Macaca fascicularis: one gene and its partners. The protein of the gene in region 2 purifies or fractionates together with the protein of the main gene of each other region. This does not show direct contact. Links are inferred from orthologs where the notes say so. Each region holds a gene or a part of one and is shown on either strand. Other genes may lie near its edges.

Evidence for each region.
Region 1: the proteins of SKP1 (region 2) and YAF2 purify together in Homo sapiens (affinity purification with mass spectrometry; 3 studies listed by BioGRID and IntAct, with this or other methods). This does not show direct contact. The link is inferred for Macaca fascicularis from reciprocal best matches to the Homo sapiens genes SKP1 and YAF2.
Region 3: the proteins of SKP1 (region 2) and FBXL6 purify together in Homo sapiens (affinity purification with mass spectrometry; 6 studies listed by BioGRID and IntAct, with this or other methods). This does not show direct contact. The link is inferred for Macaca fascicularis from reciprocal best matches to the Homo sapiens genes SKP1 and FBXL6.
Region 4: the proteins of SKP1 (region 2) and PTAR1 purify together in Homo sapiens (co-immunoprecipitation; 3 studies listed by BioGRID and IntAct, with this or other methods). This does not show direct contact. The link is inferred for Macaca fascicularis from reciprocal best matches to the Homo sapiens genes SKP1 and PTAR1.

The regions. Positions count from the first base shown.
Region 1 is NC_088385.1:48,807,750-48,813,793, forward strand, and holds the start of YAF2 (YY1-associated factor 2), read right to left. Parts: upstream 3,671-6,044; 5' UTR 3,606-3,670; coding exon 3,580-3,605; intron 3,137-3,579; coding exon 3,011-3,136; intron 1,256-3,010; coding exon of another isoform or gene 1,054-1,255; exon of another isoform or gene 864-1,053; intron 1-863. UniProt on the Homo sapiens protein: Binds to MYC and inhibits MYC-mediated transactivation. Also binds to MYCN and enhances MYCN-dependent transcriptional activation. Increases calpain 2-mediated proteolysis of YY1 in vitro.
Region 2 is NC_088380.1:140,678,296-140,682,759, forward strand, and holds the end of SKP1 (S-phase kinase-associated protein 1), read right to left. Parts: intron 3,083-4,464; coding exon 2,942-3,082; intron 2,253-2,941; coding exon 2,217-2,252; 3' UTR 1,357-2,216; downstream 1-1,356. UniProt on the Homo sapiens protein: Essential component of the SCF (SKP1-CUL1-F-box protein) ubiquitin ligase complex, which mediates the ubiquitination of proteins involved in cell cycle progression, signal transduction and transcription.
Region 3 is NC_088382.1:154,038,532-154,044,626, forward strand, and holds FBXL6 (F-box/LRR-repeat protein 6), read right to left. Parts: upstream 3,671-6,095; 5' UTR 3,643-3,670; coding exon 3,239-3,642; intron 2,995-3,238; coding exon 2,836-2,994; intron 2,710-2,835; coding exon 2,646-2,709; intron 2,329-2,645; coding exon 2,197-2,328; intron 2,123-2,196; coding exon 2,015-2,122; intron 1,923-2,014; coding exon 1,809-1,922; intron 1,759-1,808; coding exon 1,509-1,758; intron 1,301-1,508; coding exon of another isoform or gene 1,276-1,300; coding exon 1,029-1,275; intron 741-1,028; coding exon 593-740; 3' UTR 493-592; downstream 1-492. Other genes in the region: SLC52A2 (solute carrier family 52, riboflavin transporter, member 2), read left to right, coding at 3,771-3,959, 4,378-4,423, 4,716-5,583, 5,681-5,804, 5,890-6,095.
Region 4 is NC_088389.1:100,450,017-100,456,094, reverse strand, and holds the start of PTAR1 (protein prenyltransferase alpha subunit repeat-containing protein 1), read left to right. Parts: upstream 1-2,408; 5' UTR 2,409-2,423; coding exon 2,424-2,509; intron 2,510-6,078.

The sequences.
Region 1 (6,044 bases), on a different chromosome or scaffold from region 2:
TGGGAGGCCAACGTGGGAGGATCACTCGAGCTCAGGAGTTTGAGACTAGCCTAGGCAACACAAAGATCCCCATCTCTACAAAAAAATAAGAAAATTAGCCACACGTGATGGCGTGCATCTGTAGTTCCAGCTACTTGGGAGGCTGAGGTGAGAGGATCCCTTGAACCTGGGAGTTCGAGGCTGCAGTGAGCCTGGATGATGACACTGCAACCCAGGGCAACAGAATGAGATCTTACCTCAAAAAAGAAAAAAGAAAAAAAATACTTTAAAGGTAGAACAAGGACTCAATCTTCTCCGCAGGTTTAAAAAGAAAAAAGTTTTTCAAATGTCTAGAATGGCTTAGACTTGGCCTAACATTTGGCAATGAGGCAGAATCAGTTCAAAGGTCAGTCTGACCCAAAGGATTCAAATCCCATCTATGGGTCACACAAACAAAACATCAGCAAACTGCATCCTTCTGCTCTGCTGCTATCCAGTCCCAGCTTTAGTACTTGCCAACCTTACTCTGGAAATTACCCTAACTGTTAATTAATATGTCAATTATGGAGAATTATTCCTTCCAACTACTGAAACTTTTGCTTCTCAACAGCATTCTGCAGTCCTTTAATCTTGTTTTTCTAACATTACCAGAGAGGAAAATATTAATATTCTGTGATGTAATCAGTATCTTCTCTATTAACAATACCCTGTTCCACACTGTTCTATACAAACATGGATTCTACCCTGAATTTCAGAAACCACTAGGAAAATAACAGATAACAGAGAAATTAGAGCTCTTAGGTTTAACTTAGAGCCAAAATCAAAAGAGAAGAGACAATTCAGAGAGAGGAAGGAAGAAGCTGAGAGGGTCGTAGTGTAGAACACTTACTTTCAGGAACACAGTGTCCCTTAGATTTCTGGTGAGTTGCCCAGAGCCTCTTCAGTTTCAATCCAAATGACAATGCTTCTCTGAGTCCTCCTCAAGTAATGTTTCCACCACTAAAAATTGGATCTACAAGAGCTCGGATGTACCGGTTAAAAACAAAAAAAAAGTCAGGGGCCCCCAGGTGGGCCTCAAGCCTCTTTTAAACTAGGCCCACTTCTCTGTCCTGGGCCAACTCCCCTGTGTACTATATTCCTTCTTCTTCCAGGTGCCAGGTATTCAGCCTGTTTCTTCTCTTCTGAGCTGCCACCACCTACTCTATTTCTCAGGGTTCCTCTAATCCCAAGACTGGCTGTGGAGTAGGACACCAGCTTCCCCCCTTCCTTGCTGTCCCTGCAAATAAACATATAGGCTCTTCTAGTTTCAGTATTTTTCTAATGGCTACAAGAAAATAGAGAGGGAACAACAAAAAGCAATAATATATAGTACCAGAGATCAAGATTATAATAATTGTCTCCACTTTAATGTTCCTGCCTCCAAAAAACGAATTTTCTAAATATTGTTTACTAAGCATTTTAAAAAGCACAAAGTACTAACACGGATATACAAATACACTCTAAACCAACTCCAACCTTACACAGCCATTAAGATACTCTGCTTTTCAAAATACTTAAATCACAAAACACGGGTCCAAAAATAGTAACCACAATCATTTTAGCAAATACTTTTTTTCTTTTTGGAATGTTCTGTTGTAATCCCTTAAATTTAGCATGTCTAAAAGTTGGCTTTCTGAGCATAAAAAATGTTCAAAATATTTTATCCACTGTAAATGAGAATAAATGGGTCCAAAATTAGTAACCACAATCATTTTAGTATATACTTTTTTCTTTTTGGAATGTTCTGCTGTAATCCCTTAAATTTAGAATATGTTTGAAAATTTTCTTTTTGAATATGAAAAATGTACAAAATATTTTATCCATTGTGGGAATATACAAAAAGCATATAATATTTACAAAAAATAAGCATGTCAAAGCCAGCGAGCTTCACTGAGAAAATTTTCAAATAAGTTACTGTCAACCATTCCTGTCTCTACATTTCAAACTTAATAAAATTCTGTAGTGTTTTAAAAAAAAATCAAGATCACATTTTTTAGAAATCTAACGTCTACTGAATATTTGCATATGTCAATATCATATATGCCTTTTTTAAAGCAACAGTAAGATAGATTAGTATGCTTATTGTTATAGTTTAGTCTCTAATGAACTTTGTAACATCAAAATATATATCTTCTCTACATATTAAGTAATAAATCACAGGATTATATTTAATTCAAAGGGTACCTTCCTATAAAAATCAAGGAGCTCGATAACTAAGTGCTGACAGATTAAGAATGCCAGACTGAATTTCCTGGATGATTTTCTTTATCCACTTAATTCAAAGTCGTTTTTTAAAAAACAGAGTTATTATACTGCAAGCTTACAATAAATAAAGTCTGAAAATGGGCAGAGATCTTTTCATCTCATTTGTCTAAGAGACTGCCATTTAATCAAACTAAAGATATGCAGGTACTTTCAGTAAAAATCTGTTCCTGTGACTGGGCTCATCTCCAACTACTTATTTATAAAATATTAGAGAACTGGAATAAAAACACTAAATAAAACCTTGATCTGACCCTTCCAGAAGTCCATATAGAAAAGAAGTTTAATATATTGTGTATTCTGCAATCAGATAGTTTTCTTTTTTTAGGAACGAAATTAAATTACATCCTTTGCTCCTAAAGAGGATTTTATGGGTTTTCCTTGATCCCTACACACTAACACAACAATGCAGCCAACATTTTTATACCCAGAGTGGGGAGAGGGACATTACACACGGCGATACGAATTAAATCGCAGTAGCTAATGCCTCCCATAAATAATTTATTCTCTCTTGGCAGCAAAAAACCTTACAGCCTCTTCAATTACCCCTCACCGCAAACCATCGCCTGGGTTGCGATCAATGTGACCCAGTTCCTATCGCCACAGCCACCTCCGTCTCGCCTCCTCCCGCCGGGTCCGCGAATGTCATGGGACGGGGCGGCAGCCGCAGGGGCGTCCCCTGGTCGTCACCCCGCCAGACGGAGGCGCGCGGGGCAGGCCTGGGACTCACCGGGTGGAGGTGCCCTTCCGCACATCGCACATCATGCACTTGAAGGCCTCGGCGCTGTTCCGGAAGGTGCAGACGCTACAGTCCCAGTAACCCTCATCCGAGGACGGCTTCGGCTGCCGCTTCGGCCTGCAGGACACAACCCGGACACGACGCGGCGCGGGGTCACCAGCAGGCCGCGCCCGGCGCCCGGGCCCTGCGGCCGCCCCCGCCCCGCCCCCCGCCCCAATTCCGCGACCCCCGCCCGGCGGGCCCCCGGCGGGCCCTCGGCGCGCCGCGCTCCGGCTCCAAGGGGGAAGGAAGTCAGGAAGAGGCAGGGCGCGAGCCCGGCCGCACTCGCCGCCGCCACAGCCGCTCTGACACCCGGGCTGCCGCTCCGGTAGCCGCCGCCATCGCGGCTCCATTGTGGGGCGGCCGGCGCCGGCCCCCTCACGCGGCAGCACTCGCACACCAGCGGCGCCGCCCCCGTGCTCGCCCCGGTGCCCGGGCGGCGAGCGAGGCAGCCACCCGAAGCCCTGCACCAGGGCCCTGCCGCCCGCACAGTCCGGGCCCCGGGGCCCGGGCGCTGTTACCTGGTGGGGCTCTTCTTGTCTCCCATGGCTTGGCTATCAACGCACGCTGAGAGTCGCCGCCGCGGCCGCACTGTTTGTCAATAAGGAGGATAATAAGCCGGGCGGAAGCGGGCGGGGGAGGAGGGAGGAAGGGGGCGGGGAAGGCCGCACCGCCGCGCTCGGGAGCCGCCGCCGGATCCCACGCAGCCTCCAGCTGTCGGGGAAACTCCTGCCTGGGCGCACGTGACCCGCGCCCGCCAACCAGCAGCCGCGCCGGAGACTTCAAACGCGGCCAGCGCGGCCCAGCACCCGCGGCGAGTTAGCCGGCGGGCGGTGCGGAGGTGGACGCCTCGGCCTCGGGAGCCGGCGCCGCCTCACCGCACTGTTGCCCTGTCGCCCTCTCGGTACCCACGGCTGCCAGGGGCTGCCGCGCGCTCCAGAGCCCCTCTGAGGAGGAAAATATCTGTCCCACCGACTGGCTTGGGATGCTCAGTCATCCCGTGCGAAGCCTGGTCCAAGGTCTGGCATTCGGAGGCCTGTCCAGGTCTGGACAGAAGTGCCAGCCCGGGGTCTCCAGGTAGAACGACTTTCCTGGCCTCCGCCGTCCTTAGCTACTCAGTCCCCGCCTGCAGGACACCACGGGGAAGGCGGGAACCAACACGCAGCGCCATTGCTAGATGCCTTAAAGCGCTACACAGATGCTCAAACAAGTAGGGCTTGTCACCCCTAACTTAGAGGAATCGAAATCAAGACTCAAGAGAGGTTAGGTGACTTCCTCTGGGCTACATAATTAGAAAATGACAAAGCCAGGAGTCTAACTCTGCTCTAATTCCAAAGGCACCCTTTTGGCCTCTCAGGCCTCTGCAGTAGCTGCTTTTGAAAGAAACCCAATACATACTCATAAGGCCTTTTTAAATATAAGGAGTTTACATGTCCCCTCAACGCTGTCTGCTAACAAAAGAACACCTTCCCAGGTCTCTTTACCTCAATATACTAAATAAAGGTCCTCATACTCCAGACTCCAGCAACAGCCATCAAACTGGTCTCCGAAGCTCCACTTCCACCTCCCCAATCGATTCAGTAGTCCACAACCAGATGAATAATAAAATGCTGTTAATATTATGCCACCACTCTGATCAAGAACCACTAACGACTCCCACACTCCTTAGCCTGGCATTTAAAGGCTTCACACATTTTCCCTACCTCTGCATCCCTCTCCCATGAGAAAAGCTGCCTCCTGACAATGCACATGGGTTACTTCTGCATAAACTAGATCCCTCTTTAACAGTGCTGTTTCTGTCCATCTTTCTAGGTTTACATCAATTCCGAATTCATGTAAAATGATAATTTCATAGCTAAACTACAAAGGAAATGGTACAGTCAGAAGTCCAGGGTTCTCAGCCTGCTTCCCCTGTTTCTTAGCTGATAGATCTTGGAAGTATTGCTTAATTTCTGTAATTCTCAACGTTTTCATCTTCTGAATGGCATCTATATGAGATTGTTGTGCGATTAATAATAAAATAATATTTTTTGGCCAGGCGCGGTGGCTCACGTGTGTAATCCCAGCACTTTGGGAGGTGGAGGCGGGCGGATCACCTGAGGTCAGGAGTTCAAGACCAGCCTGGCCAACTTGGTGAAACCCCATCTCTACTAAAAAATATACAAAAATTAGCCTGGCGTGGTGGCGGGTGCCTGTAATCTCAACTACTCGGGAGGCTGAGGCAGAGAGAATTGCTTGAACCCGGGAGTCGGAGGGTGCAGTGAGCCGAGATCGTGCCACTGCACTCCAGCCTGGGCGACAGAGCGAGACTCTGCCTCTAAATAAATAAATAAATAATTTTTTTTAGCACTATGTGCCAGGCACTTTGTAAATCCCTGTACGTAGATACATATTTTAAAGGACTCAAAGTGCTATGCACATGGCCTCATTGACTGCAGATGCTCTTCGATTTAGAATGGGGATACTTCCCGATAAATCCATCTTAAATAAAAAATACCATAAATCGAAAATGCATTTGGTACACCGATAAACCCATCGTAAAGTAGAAAAATCGTAAGTTGAGCCGTTGTAAATCCATAGTCTAGCCCTTCATTTTAAAGACAAGAAAGTTAGGGCCCAGGTTAAATGGTTTTTCTTTAATGAATAGGCCAGGGTTAGAGCTCAGGTATCCTGAGACGAATGTCTTTCACCGCACCTTCTTTCTGATTAACCAAGTCACTCCATTTACATAGCAGTCTCTAAACTCATTGTACTATCTGTACTTTTTGCAAATGTAGCTTCTCATGATTCAGACCCGAATTCGGAAACCAGGAACCATGAGGAGTATGATTGAGGAAAGTATACAAGAGAACGAGATTTGAGGCCTAGTCTTTAACCTCTCAGTAATGCAGTGGGTAAACTCAGCTAAATCACTTCCTTTTTTTCATATGTAAAATAAAGGAGTTAAAACTACTGTCACAACTAAGGTCTCTTACAAGTCTAAGGC
Region 2 (4,464 bases):
ACCAGGAATCCAAAAGTAGTCACAGGGGCTGGCAAATATTTTCTGTAAAATGCCAGATAGTAAAATATGTTACTTTTTTTTTTTTTTTTTTTTTTTTTGAGACGGAGTCTCGCTCTGCCGCCCAGGCTGGAGTGCAGTGGCCGGATCTCAGCTCACTGCAAGCTCCGCCTCCCGGGTTCACGCCATTCTCCTGCCTCAGCCTCCGGAGTAGCTGGGACTACAGGCGCCCGCCACCGCGCCCGGCTAGTTTTTTGTATTTTTTAGTAGAGACGGGGTTTCACCGTGTTAGCCAGGATGGTCTCGATCTCCTGACCTCGTGATCCGCCCATCTCGGCCTCCCAAAGTGCTGGGATTACAGGCTTGAGCCACTGCGCCCGGCCAAAATATGTTACTTTTTGGTCAAATACAGTTTCTGTTTGTGTGTGTGTGTGTGTGTGTATGTGTGTGTGTATTTTAAACAACCCTTTACAATGCAAAAACCATTTTTAGCTCAAAGACTACAAAAACAGGCTATGGGCCTGATTTGACCCACACACGTTATAGTTTCCTATCTCTGGTACAGACAACAAATTGGAATTAAGTGAGACAACATATGGGACTTAGGTGAATCTGGGACAAATGAAAGGTGAGATGAAGGCAAACTACTGTCAAGGGATGATCTGAGCCTCAACAATTCAGTGAATGTGAAGAGAAAACAAGATTACATACGAATATAGATGTCAACTGGAAAAGGAAGGAGAAAAAAAGGGAGCACAAGGAAGAAAAAAAAATCAAAATTTGTGAGCCATCTCAAGCCATAAAAAAACTTCATTCTATTGTAGGAGAGAAGCTGGAAACAATGACAGAGTAATGTGTTAAGAATTAAAGTACGGCCGGGCGCGGTGGCTCAAGCCTGTAATCCCAGCACTTTGGGAGGCCGAGATGGGCGGATCACGAGGTCAGGAGATCGAGACCATCCTGGCTAACATGTGAAACCCCCATCTCTACTAAAAATACAAAAACTAGCCGGGCGAGGTGGCGGGCGCCTGTAGTCCCAGCTACTCGGGAGGCTGAGGCAGGAGAATGGCGGGAACCCGGGAGGCGGAGCTTGCAGTGAACTGAGATCGCGCCACTGCACTCCAGCCTGGGCGACAGAGCGAGACTCCGTCTCAAAAAAAAAAAAAAAAAATTAAAGTACTAGCTCCAGTTAGGCATATAAATGACAATTAGAAGGGACAGAAGTTATGGTTATGTCAGCAGCCTCCAGTGAGCTAGGATATGAACTCTTTTCAAGCTAAACAAATATATATACACTTTCAACCCATTTAAGTGAAGAGACACATTTAAGTCCACAAAAGCAAACTTAACTACCTACTATACAACTTACTTTTTATTGAAAGTATCTTGCATTCATGATGGATGCTTTCTGGGTTTTACCACATATTTTAATGATAAAAGTTAAATTATTTTTTACATGCAAGTAGTGTGAATAATTTTCCCCACGTGGGAACACTGATTATAAAAAGATGACATCCCACATGGGTTAAGTGTCTTTTTTAATTGAAAAGCTAACAAACTGTCCAGTTACATTTCTCCCAAAAACCCACAAACTAGGTAGTAACTGAGTCTCTAGGCAATATATTTAAAACTAAGAGGATTAAAAATAAAATTAAAGAAAAAGAAAACAAGTCCTCAGATGCAATGAAGGGAGCCCTGCTACATACAGGCTAATACAGTGGTACTCCTTGACTGCAGGAGGCTGGAAGACATCCTAGTAATTCCACTCAGAACATTTACCTCAAGAAGCCTTTTTCCAGTTTCCAACTCATGAATAAAGAGAATATTTTGTTAATTCTATTCCAAAAAACTTTTTTGCAACTTGTTTTATTTACAATGCCAACTTTCAAAAGGTCACTAAAGTTAACTGGACAATAAACTAGGCAGAAATTGCTTTACAAAAAAGAGGGAAAGCCCAAAATGCCACTTACAGAGAACCCACAGTTCAGTTTTATTCAGAGCAAAGAAAAAAGAAACTTTCGATCATACTAAAAGAAACTCAGCCATAGGTTTGGAATCTATACTCAAACTACACATGCAATGAGGACAATATTCTGCTAATACAATTGACTTGCTGCTGCATTTGTCTACTGTTTGTCTAATATTAACAATTATAAACAGAGCAGTGCAACTAGTATTTGGAACAATCCTTACAGTGTTATAGTGTCAGGCACAACATTTCACTTCTCTTCACACCACTGGTTCTCTTTGCGTACCTAAAAGAGATGAATATAAGGAAGTACCTTAACTTGAGTAGTCTTTCCTAAGACTTAAAATAATACCTACTGATTCATCAATAGCCAGTGAGTTGAGTCAGAACTGAGAACCCATGGAAAATTAGAATAACATCAGATTAAGACTATATTTCCGGATTTCCTTTTTTTGCCTCCCACGGTTTTTATTCTGCCCTGCTGAAATTATGAACAAAGCAAAGGCAATGGGCAATTCACTAAAGTTGACAGAGCAAATTCAGTTAATTCAGTCACATAATTTCAGTCTGTAGTCATGTCAACAAAATCATTCTGATCTATTATTTCATTTCCTCCCCTCATTAAGTTACTCTAAAGTACCCTAGCATACACTTCTCTATAGGGCTTGCTTTTCTGAAGTCAGATATGTATGGTCTATACAGAAAGTTGCAGGTGCCAAAACTGGTAACTGTTAATACAGTAACTAGAGCTCTTCTCATTGAAAACTAATTGTTCTTATGCTTAAAATGCAGTATCACCTAAGTGTTCAGATTCATAAAGACAGACCAGTAAGAATATGTTTAAGACACATAAAGTACATATTATCCCTGAAGTATCAAGACTACTTGATACAGTCACCTCTTTTCCTGGCATGTTATAGGCGTTAGTCCCTTTTTAAGAGCATGTGATCAAAGACAAAACTTTGTGCTACCTACCTGGGCTTCCTCCTCTTCAGTAAAGTCATTTTTGATATTGAAGGTCTTGCGAATCTCCTCAGGAGTCTTCCCCTTGATCATATTGGCAACAGTCTTGCATGTAACATCAAGCAAACCTTTGATGTCTAAGTAGTTTGCAGCCTGTAAAGAGACAGTTGTTTTCCTTAAAGTATACTTGATGTTTTAAACTAAATCCAAAGTTAATGATTGACATTCCATATCTAATAAAGCTTAAAATGCTAATTTTAAATTAAAGGGAGAATAAATCACTCTTAAGTTCTTCTGTGAAAGACTTTTATGTGACCTTCTTTGTTACACCTCTATAATGTTGCATCCCTATGCTTCCTTAACCAAACTATACTAGCTCAAATGTTAAATAACAGCCACTACTGTTGTGTATGTGTGTACACATGCACACAAATACCACATCAGGTCTTGGCAAAAATATTTGTCCACACTTAAAGAGTTCAAAAATAAGCAGTTAAAGCACTACACTTTATTGATCTCTTTTTAAAAAACAGGTTTTGGTTTCATTGACTTTATTGTTTACCTGTTTTCTATTTCATTGATTTCTGCCCTTTAATATTCTCATTTTTCTGTTTACTTTAATTTCATCCTTTACTAGTTTAAGGTGGAAGCTTAATCACCGATCTGAAACTTTTTTCCTTTCTAATAATATAGGTATTTCATTCCATCAGTTTCCTTCTAAGTAATTCTTTAGCTGTATCTCACAGATTTTTCATGTGTTTTATTTCCATTCAGCTCAAAATACTTTCTATTTCTTCTTTGACCCGTAGCTTACCTGCAAATGTGTTAGTTTAAAAGTAGTTGCAGATTTTTCCAGATATCTTTCTGTTTGTGATTTCTAATTCCATTGCAGTCAGAAGACAAACTTTGTATGACTTGAATCCTTTTACAATAGACTTTTTTTTTTTTGAGACACCATCTCACTCTGTCACCCAGGCTGGAATTCAGTGGCATGATCTCGGCTTACTGCAACCTGCACCTCCCAGGTTCAGCCGATTCTCTTGCCTCAGTCTCCCAAGTAGGTGGGATTACAGGTGCGTGTCTCCACACCCAGCTAATTTATTTATTTATTTTTGAGACGGGTCTCTCGCTCTGTCACTGGAGGGCGGTGGAGCGATCTTGGCTCACTGCAAGCTCCACCTCCCGGGTTCACGCCATTCTCCACAGCCTCCAAGTAGCTAAGACTACAGGCGCCTGCCACCACGCCCGGCTAATTTTTTGTATTTTTAGTAGAGACGGGATTTCACCATGTTAGCCAAGATGGTCTCGATTTCCTGACCTTGTGATCCTCCCGCCTCGGCCTCCTAAAGTGCTGGGATTACAGGTGTGAGCCACTGTGCCCAGCCTAAAACATTATATGTAATGATAGCAGAATACATATTCTTTTCAAGTGTATATTACCAAGACAGACCATGTCCTGGGCCATAAAACAAGTCTCAGCCAGGCGCAGTGGCTCACGCCTATAATCCCGACACTTGGGAGGGCGAGGCGGGTGG
Region 3 (6,095 bases), on a different chromosome or scaffold from region 2:
GCCCAGGGTGGACCGCGCACGGGTTCTAGAAGTTCTGGGCGGGTTCTAGAAGGGGCCGCTCTGTTAACCACCTCCTAGGGAGTCCGGGGTGAGGTCCTGCGGTGGGCATTAACTTCTTGGCCAGTCCATCCCCTGGAGGCCCCCTGTATGGCCTGTTCACAGTCCTCATCTGAAAGGTGGATGGATGGACATCCTAGGACTGAGCTGGAGAGAAATTTGCAGGCGGGGACCCCTCAATGAGCCCCACAGCTGGGCGGGGCCCCACCTCTCCCCCTACATGCAACCACAGACAAGCTCACCAGTGTTCCTGAGGGTGGAACACACACACTGGTGCCAGCAGTGGGCAGGCAAAGGCATGGCCACCTGCAGGCTTAAGAGCCCATGGGGCCATCCTGACCCCACAACACACAGGCTCTGGGTTGGCTGTAGCCCCAGTGGCTCCATCAGGTATAACCCGTTGCCCAACCCTACCCTGAGGACCACACACAGAGCTCCCAAAAACGTTTTATTAAAAAAAAATGCTCAAATATCTGAAATTGGGCAAAGGTAGGGGGTGGGCAGGCGGGCTGAGGTGTCCCAGGTCTGTGGCTGCCTAGCTGGGCAAGGGGCTGGTGAGCAGCTGCTCCAGACACCACTGGACTTCCTCCAGGCCCCGGTAGGCCCGCTTCAGACCCCGGGGAAGGCAGCGGCAGGACTCCAGGTTGAGGTAGAGCAGGCCTGGGCAGCTGCTGATCACAGAGCTGTGGGGAAAGCAGGCCACAGGAAGTTGAGCTGTTGCCCCAGAAGGGCTGGGCCAGGTTAGGGAGCTGTGCCTGCTGGTGTTCCACACCTGGCTCTGCCACCCATAGCCACCAAGACCAAGCTCAGTTCCCCTGGTGTCCCTAAGCCCACCCCACGCAGGGGCTTGGACAATATGCATGCCCTCTGACCCCTGGAGCTCTCAGGCCAGGCAGGACACCACTTCCAGGCCCCAGGCAGATGCGGTGACAGCCACCCTGGCTCCAGGGACTGGGGTTAGGGATGCTGACCTGACCGTGCTGGGTGTGACCCGGGTGCCCCTGAGGTTAAGAGAGCACAGGGCTGGGTGTGAGCCCCCAGGGGTGCTTAAGAAGGCAGCCAGGGCCTGCTCCAGGTCCTTCTCACTGAAACCCTGGCCACTCAAGTCCAGTTCTCGCAGTGTATGGCACCACTTCTGAGTCAACAGGGGGCTGCCCTCCTTGGCTAGAGTCAGCCGGTCTGACGTGCCATACAGGCCCAGATGAAGCTGCTCCAGCTCTGAGGTGAGAGGAGTGAGCATAAGCTACAGGGCGACAAGGACTCCCACAACTCACCCGCCCGGCCACCACCCAGGACCGCTGACCCTGGCACAGCACAAGGGTCCCCACACCTCACCCATTCAGCCACCACCCACACCTCACCTGCCTGCCCACCACCCAGGACCATTGACTCCAGCATGGCACAAGGGCCCCCACACCTCATGCGCCTGGCCACAACCCAGAACCACTGACCCCGACACGGCAGATCCTGAAGGCCAGCCGGCGTGATGCGCGCACAGCCACGAAGATCTAGTAAGCGCAAGTTGGGAGAGCCGTGGAGTAGGCGGCCCAGGACCTCGTTGCTTACAAAGTTGCAGGCTGAGCTCGCCAGGCAGAGTTCCTCCAGGCTAGGGAAGCCTGGTCCGGGAGCCACCCCTCGTCCCAGAGGCTTGGGCAGCCACATCAGGTTCAGCAGCCGCAGCACCTGGGGGCAAGGCCCAGGCTGTAGATAGGGGAGCGTATAAAAGGTGGGAGAGGCAGGGCGCCAGGTACCTGGAGCTGGGGGCAGCCTTTCTGCAGAGCCTCAACAGGCAGCTGAAGGGGAATGCTGTTACGGTTGATGCCGCTGCTCACCTCCAGAACCTGGAGCTGGGGGCAGCAGCTGCCCTGCAGAGGTGCGGGGGAAGGGGGTCACAGGGTCAGTGGCCTGGCAGTCCCCGGCTCAGCATCTGCCTCTGCTCCCACCAATGCCAACCTACCAGCAGTGCACCCAGGATGGCTGTCGTCTGGGAGCTGTAAGTCAGCCACAACTTGCGCATTCGGGACCCTGCCTCCTCCAAGAAGCTTACCACAGCTGTGGACTCCACCTAGGGTCCCAATACAAGAGCACCCGTCACCCCAGCCTGGGCTTTTTCAGGGCCCCTTGGGACACAGGGCTCACCATGGAGTGCTGTAGGTCCAGGCTATGGAGCTGGCAGCAGGCTTTGGCTAGCATGACCAGAGCATCAGCAGTCACACCGTGGCAGCCGGAGAGCTTTAGGAAAGTGAGCCGAGGACAGGACTCGCCTACCAGCTGCGGGGAGACAGAGGGGCAGCTGGGGTTGGGAGAGGGCAGGCTAAGATCCACAAGGGAAACAAACAGGTGGCTGGTGCCAACCCCACGCTACCGCCTTAGCTGCGACCTCCTTTCTGCCCATGTCAGGCCTACTTGGGTGTCCCCGCCTCTGACACCTCCCTGCTGGAGGAAACAGCAGGAAAGGAGAACCAGGCAGGCAGGCAGGCCTCCCGATGGAGCAGCGTTGGGCCCTCAAGGTGCCTGACCCACTTCCTAGAGTACTCAACAGTCCCAGAGGGTCACAGCTGGTGTGCAGGGCAGCCTGGAGCTCTCACCTTCAGCACGGGGTGTACCTGAGACTTCCAGTGGATGAGGGTCAGCCTCTGGAGCTGTGAAAACCTGGGCCGACAGCAGAGGCAGAGCTGCACTAATGTTCCCACACGAGTCCTTCCCACCCAACACCTTGGTGCAGGGAGACAGAAGGAGCCTGGAGCCAGGGGACAAGGAAAAGAGGGAACCCCTCACCGATTAGGCATAAGCCACTCCAGGGAAGCAAGAAGCTTCTTCTCCGCCTTGACCCCGCCCTTGGCAGGCCGGCCGGCCAGCGGGGACGACAGGGTCACGGTGTGCCAGAGCGCGGGTTGGGAAGCGGCCTCCTGCCAGCGGCGGCACACGCGCGCAGCCCTGGGAGGACAGCGTGCTGAGGCTGCCGGCCCCTTCGTAGGTGATACCCCCTCTCGCAGCGCAGTGGACATCCCGGCTCAAAGCCGGGCTCCTGGGACTCCAACCGGGCGCCTAAGGGGCTGCGCTCTCGGGCGGAGGGGTGCGCGCTCCGATGCTTTCGCCCTCCGCCCCCGCCCGGGCCACTGCTCGGACCACGTCTGGCCCAAGTCGCTGCGCTCGGCGACGGGCCCGGCAGCAGCGTTACCTGCCGAGGAAGGGCATGGGCCCGTCCGCCGCCACCAACAACCCGAAAATCTGCACCAGGATTTCCAAGGGAATGCGGTCTCCCCAGCCCGCGTCGGGCCCTTCCTCGGGCGAGGGCGCCGGGTCGGGCCTGAGCGTGGCCTTGGGCTTGGCCGCGGCGCGGCCCGGGGGCGGCTGCCGGGGAGTGCGGCGGGCAGCGCGGGGAGTGCGGCGGGCAGCGCGTCGCTGTGCGCGGGTCCGGGCGGGTCCGGGTTCGGACAGCACCAGCAGCATGCTGTCGGACGGAAGCAGGTGGTACCCCGAGCCGCTCGGCGCCAGCCGGTCCCACCACCAGTCCTCGGCCGAGCGGGCCCGCGGCGCTGCCCGAGCTCTGCGCCGGACCTTCCGGGAGGCCGGGGAAGCCATGACCACCGACGGCGCTTGGGGCAGCTCCAGGGAGCGGAACGGGCGGGGCTTACAGACTGACACCCCCCGACTCTTCTCTGCGCCCGCCCGCTGACCCGCTTCCGGGGCGGGACTTCCGGCCGTGGGCCATGCCGGGGGCGGGCCCGGAGTCGCGGCGGGTGAGTCTGGTGGTGGCTGCTGTCGGGTCCTGGGCTGTCTGGACTGAGGCGGCGTCCCTGGGCCGGACGGCGGCGTCCTGGCGTGGCGGGAAGCCGGCACTAGAGCGGGAGCGCACTGGGTGCGGGACCGGGAGGCGTAGAGTCGCCCATCTGAAGCTGGTGAGAGGGCGGCGCCCCTACGAGCAGAGCCGCCCCAGCCACTCCCCTGGGATCTGACTTGGCTCCTGCGGTCCCGGGCACCGCGAAGCCCTGGGGCGTGCTTGGCTCCTGCTGGTAGGCGCCCTGTCCCAGTGTCCGGCTTGGGGTGGTGGTTGCAGTGACTCCAACCCCGCCTCTCCCTGGAGAGGAGGGCTCCACTCGCTCCTTCGGCCTCCTCCCCTGGGGCTGCAGCGACTCGGGCCGGCTTCCTGCTTCCCTACCTGCCGGCGGTCCCGACGCTGGCGGGCGGTGCTGCTGGGTACGTTTTAGCCAATCCTCCCCATCCCCACTCCTGCCCGGGGCTCCCCCTGTTCCCTTGGTCTCACCCTGTTGATTCCGGTTCTGTATCCTGCCTATTTGTCTGTTTCTTTCAAGCTAGAAGAGGTCTTCAGTTCCCAGAAGAGCCAAAGCGTCTCTGGACCTAGGTGGGAAAAGAACTGGCTGTGACCTTTGCCTTGACCTGGAAGGGCGCAGCCTTGGACTGAATGGCAGCACCCACACCCGGCCGTCCGGTGCTGACCCACCTGCTGGTGGCTCTCTTCGGCATGGGCTCCTGGGCTGCGGTCAATGGGATCTGGGTGGAACTACCTGTGGTGGTCAAAGAGCTTCCGGAGGGTGAGTGGGAGGAGGTGCAGGTGTGCCCAGGAAGGTGGGCCCTGTCAGTTCTTCTTCCCTTGGGTATCATGCCCCTGACATGGTCTCCTCCCTTCCCTGCAGGTTGGAGTCTCCCCTCCTACGTCTCTGTGCTTGTGGCGCTGGGGAACCTGGGTCTGCTGGTGGTGACCCTTTGGAGGCGGCTGGCCCCAGGAAAGGGCGAGCGGGTCCCCATCCGGGTGGTGCAGGTGCTGAGCATGGTGGGCACAGCTCTCCTGGCCTTTCTGTGGCACCGCGTGGTCCTAGTGGCAGGACAGTCGCATTCCGTGGCCTTCTTAGCACTGGCCTTTGTGCTGGCGCTGGCATGCTGTGCCTCTAATGTCACTTTCCTGCCCTTCCTGAGCCACCTGCCACCTCGCTTCTTACGGTCATTCTTCCTGGGTCAAGGCCTGAGTGCCCTGCTGCCCTGCGTGCTGGCCCTAGTGCAGGGTGTGGGCCGCCGTGAGTGCCCACCAGCCCCCATCAACGGCACCCCCGGCCCCCCACTCGACTTCCGTGAGCGTTTTCCCGCCAGCACCTTCTTCTGGGCACTGACTGCCCTTCTGGTCGCTTCAGCTGCTGCCTTTCAGGGTCTCCTGCTGCTGTTGCCACCACCATCTGTACCCACAGGGGGCTTAGGATCAGGCCTCCAGGTGGGAGCCCCAGGAGCAGAGGAAGAGGTGGAAGAGGCCTCACCATTGCAAGAGCCACCAAGCCAGGCAGCAGGCACCACCCCTGGTCCAGACCCTAAGGCCTATCAGCTTCTCTCAGCCCACAGTGCCTGCCTCCTGGGGCTGTTGGCTGCCACCAACGCACTGACCAACGGCGTGCTACCTGCTGTGCAAAGCTTTTCCTGCTTACCCTACGGGCGTCTGGCCTACCACCTGGCTGTGGTGCTGGGCAGTGCTGCCAATCCCCTGGCCTGCTTCCTGGCCATGGGTGTGCTGTGCAGGTACACAAGGGCCCTTCAGCCCCTGTGCGGGTGGAACTCAGGGCTGGGAGCCAGGTCCTGGCACAGTCAGCCCTGACACTCTGCTCACTCTCTACAGATCCTTGGCAGGGCTGGGCGGCCTCTCTCTGCTGGGCGTGCTCTTTGGGGGCTACCTGATGGCGCTGGCAGTCCTGAGCCCCTGCCCGCCCCTGGTGGGCACCTCGGCAGGGGTGGTCCTCGTGGTGAGCACACGGGACGTGAAGTGGGGTGGGGGCGTTTTCGTGGAGCAGGCACATCTCACGCTCAGCTGCTGCTGTGTCCCCTCAGGTCCTGTCGTGGGTGCTGTGTCTTGGTGTTTTCTCCTACGTGAAGGTGGCAGCTAGCTCCCTGCTGCATGGCGGGGGCCGGCCGGCATTGCTGGCAGCCGGTGTGGCCATCCAGGTGGGCTCTCTGCTCGGCGCTGTTGCTATGTTCCCCCCCACCAGCATCTATCACGTGTTCCACAGCAGAAAGGACTGTGCAGACCCCTGTGA
Region 4 (6,078 bases), on a different chromosome or scaffold from region 2:
GGGGTTCAAGCGATTCTCCTGCCTCAGCCTCCCAAGTAGCTGGAGCTACAGGCATGCACCACGACGCCCGGCTAATTTTGTATTTTTAGTAGAGATGGGGTTTCACCGTTCTGGCCAGGCTGGTCTCGAACTCCTGACAGGTGATCCACCCACCTCGGCCTCCCAAAGTGCTGGGATTACAGGCATGAGACACCGGGCCTGGCCGATTTTACTAATTCTTAAATCTGTCCCACCTCACTGGCTACAATTTTGTGAAACTTCTATCTCCTTTTTTTTTTCTTTTTTTTTAAGATGGAGTCTTGCTCTGTTGCCAGGCTGGAGTGCAGTGGCGCGATCACCACTTACTGCAACCTCCTCCTTCCGGGTTCAAGCGCTTCTCCTGCCTCAGCCTCCCAAGTAGCTGGGATTACAAGCATGTGCCACCATGCCCAGCTAATTTTGTATTTTTAGCAGAGATGGGGTTTCACTGTCTTGGCCAGGATGGTCTCGATCTCCTGATCTCGTGATCCTCCCGCCTCTGCCTCCCAAAGTGCTGGGATTACAGGTGTGAGCCACTGCGCCTGATCCTATCTCACTTCTTTTGCAACTAGAAGGCCAAGTTCAGCCTTTATAAACATACCCACAGGAAATACTGACCACTGAGTATAGTAAATTTATATTTTTCGTTTATATTTCTCATTCACTTTACATGCAATGGATAGTTTTTAGTTTTACAATCATAAAAACGACCACAAATGCTCCGCATATGTTCACATTAAACACACCATGAACTTGTTCTTTTTTTTTTTTTTTTTTTTAAGTTTTTTAAGATACAGATTTCTTTTTTTTTCTCTTGGTTTTTTTAAGACGGAGTCTCGCTCTGTCCCCCAGACTAGAGTGCAGTGGCGCGATCTTGGCTCACTGCAAGCTCCGCCTCCCGGGTTTATGCCATTCTCCTGCCTCAGCCTCCAGAGTAGCTGGGACTACAGGCGCCCGCCACGCCTGGCTAATTCTTTTTGTTTTTGTTTTTTTTTTTGAGACGGAGTCTCGCTCTGTCACCCAGGCTGGAGTGCAGTGGCCGGATCTCAGCTCACTGCAAGCTCCGCCTCCCGGGTTCACGCCATTCTCCTGCCTCAGCCTCCCGAGTAGCTGGGACTACAGGCGCCTGCCACCTCGCCCGGCTAAGTTTTTGTATTTTTAGTAGAGACGGGGTTTCACCGTGTTAGCCAGGATGGTCTCGATCTCCTGACCTCGTGATCCGCCCGTCTCAGCCTCCCAAAGTGTTGGGATTACAGGCTTGAGCCACCGCGCCCAGCCAATTTTTTTTTTTTTTTGTATTTTTAGTAGAGACGGGGTTTCACCGTGTTAACCAGGATGGTCTCGATCTCCTGACCTCGTGATCCGCCCGCCATGGCCTCCCAAAGTGCTGGGATTACAGGCGTGAGCCACCGCACCCGGCCAAAGATGCAGATTTCACGGGTGGAAGAATAAAACTGAACTAAAGGCAGCCAGATTTTTCTACCACAGAGGAGCAAAAGAAAACCGGATACACACAAATTTTAGTTATGGCATTTCAAAATCCTAAATAAACTAGAAAGCTCGTTTTTCCTACAAAAATTTATTTTTGCTGTTATGAGCAAACCCTGTCAGAGTCTTGATACTTTTTTTTAAATTCCAAAATTGACGCAAAGGCTACCAAATGTAGTAGAAAATGAAATCGAAAAATTTAAAAACGATTTCATTTCTACTTCCTACATCCAGATGGCAAATAACTTTTCCTTCACTTTCCTTTGTCTTCCTTTAATAAATTTAAGAATTTTAATTAATGTTTTTAAAAAGGGCTGCTTTCAGGTTCAGAGACCAAAATTGGCACAGTTAGAAAGGAGGTCACCAATGCGGTCAAATAGGGACTCGCTCCGCCGCAACGCCTCTGGACCTCTTCATCTCTCTGGCTGGGAAAATAAAGCGGACAAGCTCTGAAAAACGCCCAGGACTAGACTAACTGTTAAGAGGCCCTGCACCCTCAGTTGAACATTCCTTCAAGAGTGCCCGCGGACCTGGCCAGGGGTGTTCAGGCAGGTGTCTGACTCTCGTGGAGTGTGTCTTGAGGTTCCCTTTCTCCTCGGTCCCGAGTGGCCTAAAAATTAAAATAAGAAAATCGGCGGCCTGTGAGAACTTTGCAAACACACGTGCAGCATCTTCTCTGACGCTTAGAAAGTCCGTTACTCGCGCGGAGGCGAACCCCTCCACTCACTGGGAGGCCACCAGCCCTACCTAACGCCACGCCCAGGCCGCCGACAGGCTGACCCGGAAGTGCTCGGCGGCGGCTGCGGCGACGGGGGCGCGGCCTAGCCGGCGCACCCGCGCGCGCGCTCTCCGCGGAACTCCTGCTGGCGGCCAGGCTCACGCGGAGGCGCGCCCGAACAGTCGCGGCCGCCGCCAACATGGCCGAGACCAGCGAGGAAGTGGCGGTGCTGGTGCAGCGGGTAGTGAAGGACATCACTAACGCCTTCAGGAGGAACCCGCACATGTGAGTCGCGCGCCTCCGCCACCTCCGAGGGTCGTCGGGAGCGGGCGGGGGCGGGGCCAAGCGTCCACCCGACCTCGGGCGGCGGGCTGACCACGGGTCCTGGCCCACGCGCCCTTCTAGGGAGGAGGCAGAGCCGTGTCGGGCGCCGCTGGCCGGGCTTTCCGCTACCGGGACGCGCTGGCGGACGAGTCCCTAGAAGTGACCTCGAAAAATCGAAACGGAACGACTTTCTCTCTCCCTTCCCACCTTTTCATAGGAGTTCACGAAACTCCAAAGACTTCCCCCGTAGGTCCACATCCTTCCTCTGTTTAAGGTACACGGGCGCACGCAACAATGTGGGTCTGTGCATACCTTGTAAACACAACTCTTGAGATTCATCCCGGTCATTGGCAAGGGGGTAACCGATCGTCTTTGTCTTAATGAGCCCTAAACCCCTCAGTTTACTAACTAAAGGTGGTTTGAGGCTGCTTTTGACTTTCGCCTTACTTGCCACAAAATTGTAAATTGACTCCGATAAAACATTGTGTTTTGAAGGTGAACGGAGCATTCTCAAGAGAAGCGTCTGTGGGCGCGGTGTGGAGTCTGGGATAATGCAAATGAAACCTCGATACTTTTTAGCATAAGCGGATTCATAGTTACAAGGAGCATGTTAACTCATTTTTATCCCAGCACTGCTGCCCTCTTTAACGGGACACTGCAGAACTGACACATGTATCTCTTCCGCTTTACTTGAAGTACTCTTGGAAGATACCACAAGAGTCTACTTTTTGTAACACTTTGCTTTTGTGTAACAAGTGAAAAGAAAACTATTAGAGAGAGAGATCTCCATTATACAAAGGTGTAGGGAAGAAGCAACAGTGTACCTCCTTTCCCATACCTCTTCCTCCTCAAAGAAAAGAAACATGGCATTCAGTTCTGCATTATTTTCACTTTAGTTGTTTTTGGAGTTTATTTTTACTTTTATTCTTTAGACTGGAACTCAATTTTTTTTTTTTTAAGTATTCTAACAGGTTCAGCTTTTCTGCCTAAAAAAGTTGCCAAACTTGTATCTTACCAAAGTGTTCTTTTCCTCCAAGGAGATGATTGTAAAAGAGTTAAGAAGCTCTCGGATGTTTGCTCCCTTGTGGCACAGAATTGGAGACGTGCAACTGTGCCACATTAAAAACAAAACACTGCTGGCCTCAAAACACACCTGCCACCTCTGACAGCATCCACTTCCCTCCCCCTTATGACTGCTGCCTTTTTCAAAATGAGAGTGTTTGGAATGATTTCCTGGCAGTATCCATAGTGGTTGCTGAGCCTTCTAAAGAATGCTTTGATGCCTTGCTGTATATCAGTCTTTCGATTTCTTTTTGAGAATGGGAGCCTTAGTGCAAGTAAGAGACAACCTCAAAAAAAAAAAAAAAAAGTTGGACAAATCAAGAGTGTATTTTCTCATCACTGGTATTATTTTTCTAGAAGAAATTACAGCAGAGATTAGAAGTCTAATAAAAAATATCGTAATCATCTTATGTTCTCTTCTTTGAGGTAGACTAAAAGAGCATCATTATATTTGAAGAAACCAAGATTGAATGTTCATTGGCTTGGCAGTTTAACAGTGCAGTTTGGAACACGTCCCAGTTCTTGTGGATCACATTTACGGAAACTCTTAAAGGACTTTAATGCCCCTCCCTAATCCTTTTTCTACTGTGAAACCTCATCAATATATTCTCAATGTATAATTTATTAGTAATAAGGGTTTGGCTCATTCGAGATTTAAAACTTTGAGATAAGTTGGATATTCGGAATAATGAAATGATTTGTAATATGGATCTTAAACATTTGAATAGCTTACCTCACTGTTTAATACTAGTCATCAGCTATATTTGAGTACATATTCCCCACAGTAAAACTATTTTCAATAATATTACTATGCATCTTTTTAAGTGCTTTATAATTTGGGTTTTTGAAAATTGCCTGCACTTTCTTCCCTTAATTTAGCCCATTTACTCCCAAAATAAAGAGGCTGTGTTTCTTTTCTTTTTAAAAAAAAAGCATTGTTTATCTGTGACATTTGTATCTAACTTTACTGTATCTAATTCAGTATTATAAAAGTTTCCTTCTCCAAACTTAAGGTCGGTTGTAATTTTATTAGCCAACATCTACTTCATTAAATACACTGTTTGTTTATGTAGAAATATTTAGCCAGAAGGAGTTGAGGATGCAGTGGTGAGATATGGGTGTTGTTACTGTATGATGTGAATAGGTACCTTCTCAGCCTCAGTGTCCTCTTGATCTTGTGAGGCTGATGAGAACACAGGAAAATCACCTCACACAGTGGTACTTAGTTGCCACTCAATAAATATTAGACCTTCCCTGAATCTCTGTTCCTCACCAAAAATATATTGGCCAAATAATTGGTGAATATGAAGCACTTTATAAACTGGATAATACTATATAAATGCTGTTTTTATGGTTGACTCTTAGATAATCATATCGGATTCTCTAAAACGGTAAACTTGACCTAGGGATAGTCTTTAACTTAGTGTATGGACCCTGTGCTAGTGTAGAAGACAACAGTTTACAATGTAAATAGTCATGTTAAAATTATCTTATTCAGCAAGTTACTGTTTTTTCTATTAAATATTGAACTCTCCCTGTTTATGAGGTGTTGTGGGTACCATCTTTACTATGTGAAACAAGTTTAAAATACAGTTCTTGAACCCAAGGCACTAACAGAAATTTATGTAATGGTGGAAATTTTCTATGTTTGTGCTGTTCCCTATGGTAGCCACTAGCCATGGTAGCTATTGAGCAATTGAAATGTCCCTAATATGGACAGGAACCAAATTTTAAATTTTATGTAATTTAAATTGATTTGTACGTAGTGGCTCCATGTGCCCAGTGACTACTGTGATGTGTAGTGCAGGTGTAGATGAGACCTAAGACCAACCGCATGAATAGTAAATTAACACTCCAAAGTAGTTTATAATAAAAGCTGGATAGCAGCATGGTGAGCAAGTGCTATAGGAGTCTAATAGAAGTGGAGAGGAGGCTGGTTATGTCTGGGATAGGGCTCTAAGTGGAAATGGGTTTTAAGCCGAATATTAAAGTCTGGGTAGGATTTGTAGTCTCAGCGGGAGCCAGAGACCTCCATAGGGAACAGTGAATTGACTTAAGCAAACTGTGACTGAGAAGGTACAGTAGGGCCAGATTATGGAAATCCTTGACTCTCATTTAATTTCTTTCATTCCATTTATACATTCTGCAAAAGATTACAGAATCATTGTGTCTGTTTGACAGGCACAATGCTGGTCTCTGGGTATACAGGGTTCAAAGCTGGGTGGCTTAATGAACAAACCAGACATGGTCCCTGTCCTAATGGGATGTTAAGCAGTCAACATACAGATTATGAAAAGAGTCAGAAAAAGTAAGAAGGGTACTTAGATTAACAACATGGAGGCCTAATTTAGAGTATGAGGTCAAGATAGTTCTTTCTGAGGCAATAGCATTTAAACTGAATGAGACATGAGGGGTGAAGAAAAGCTGGCTCATGGATGCACACTTCTAAGGCAATGGGTAGGCACCAG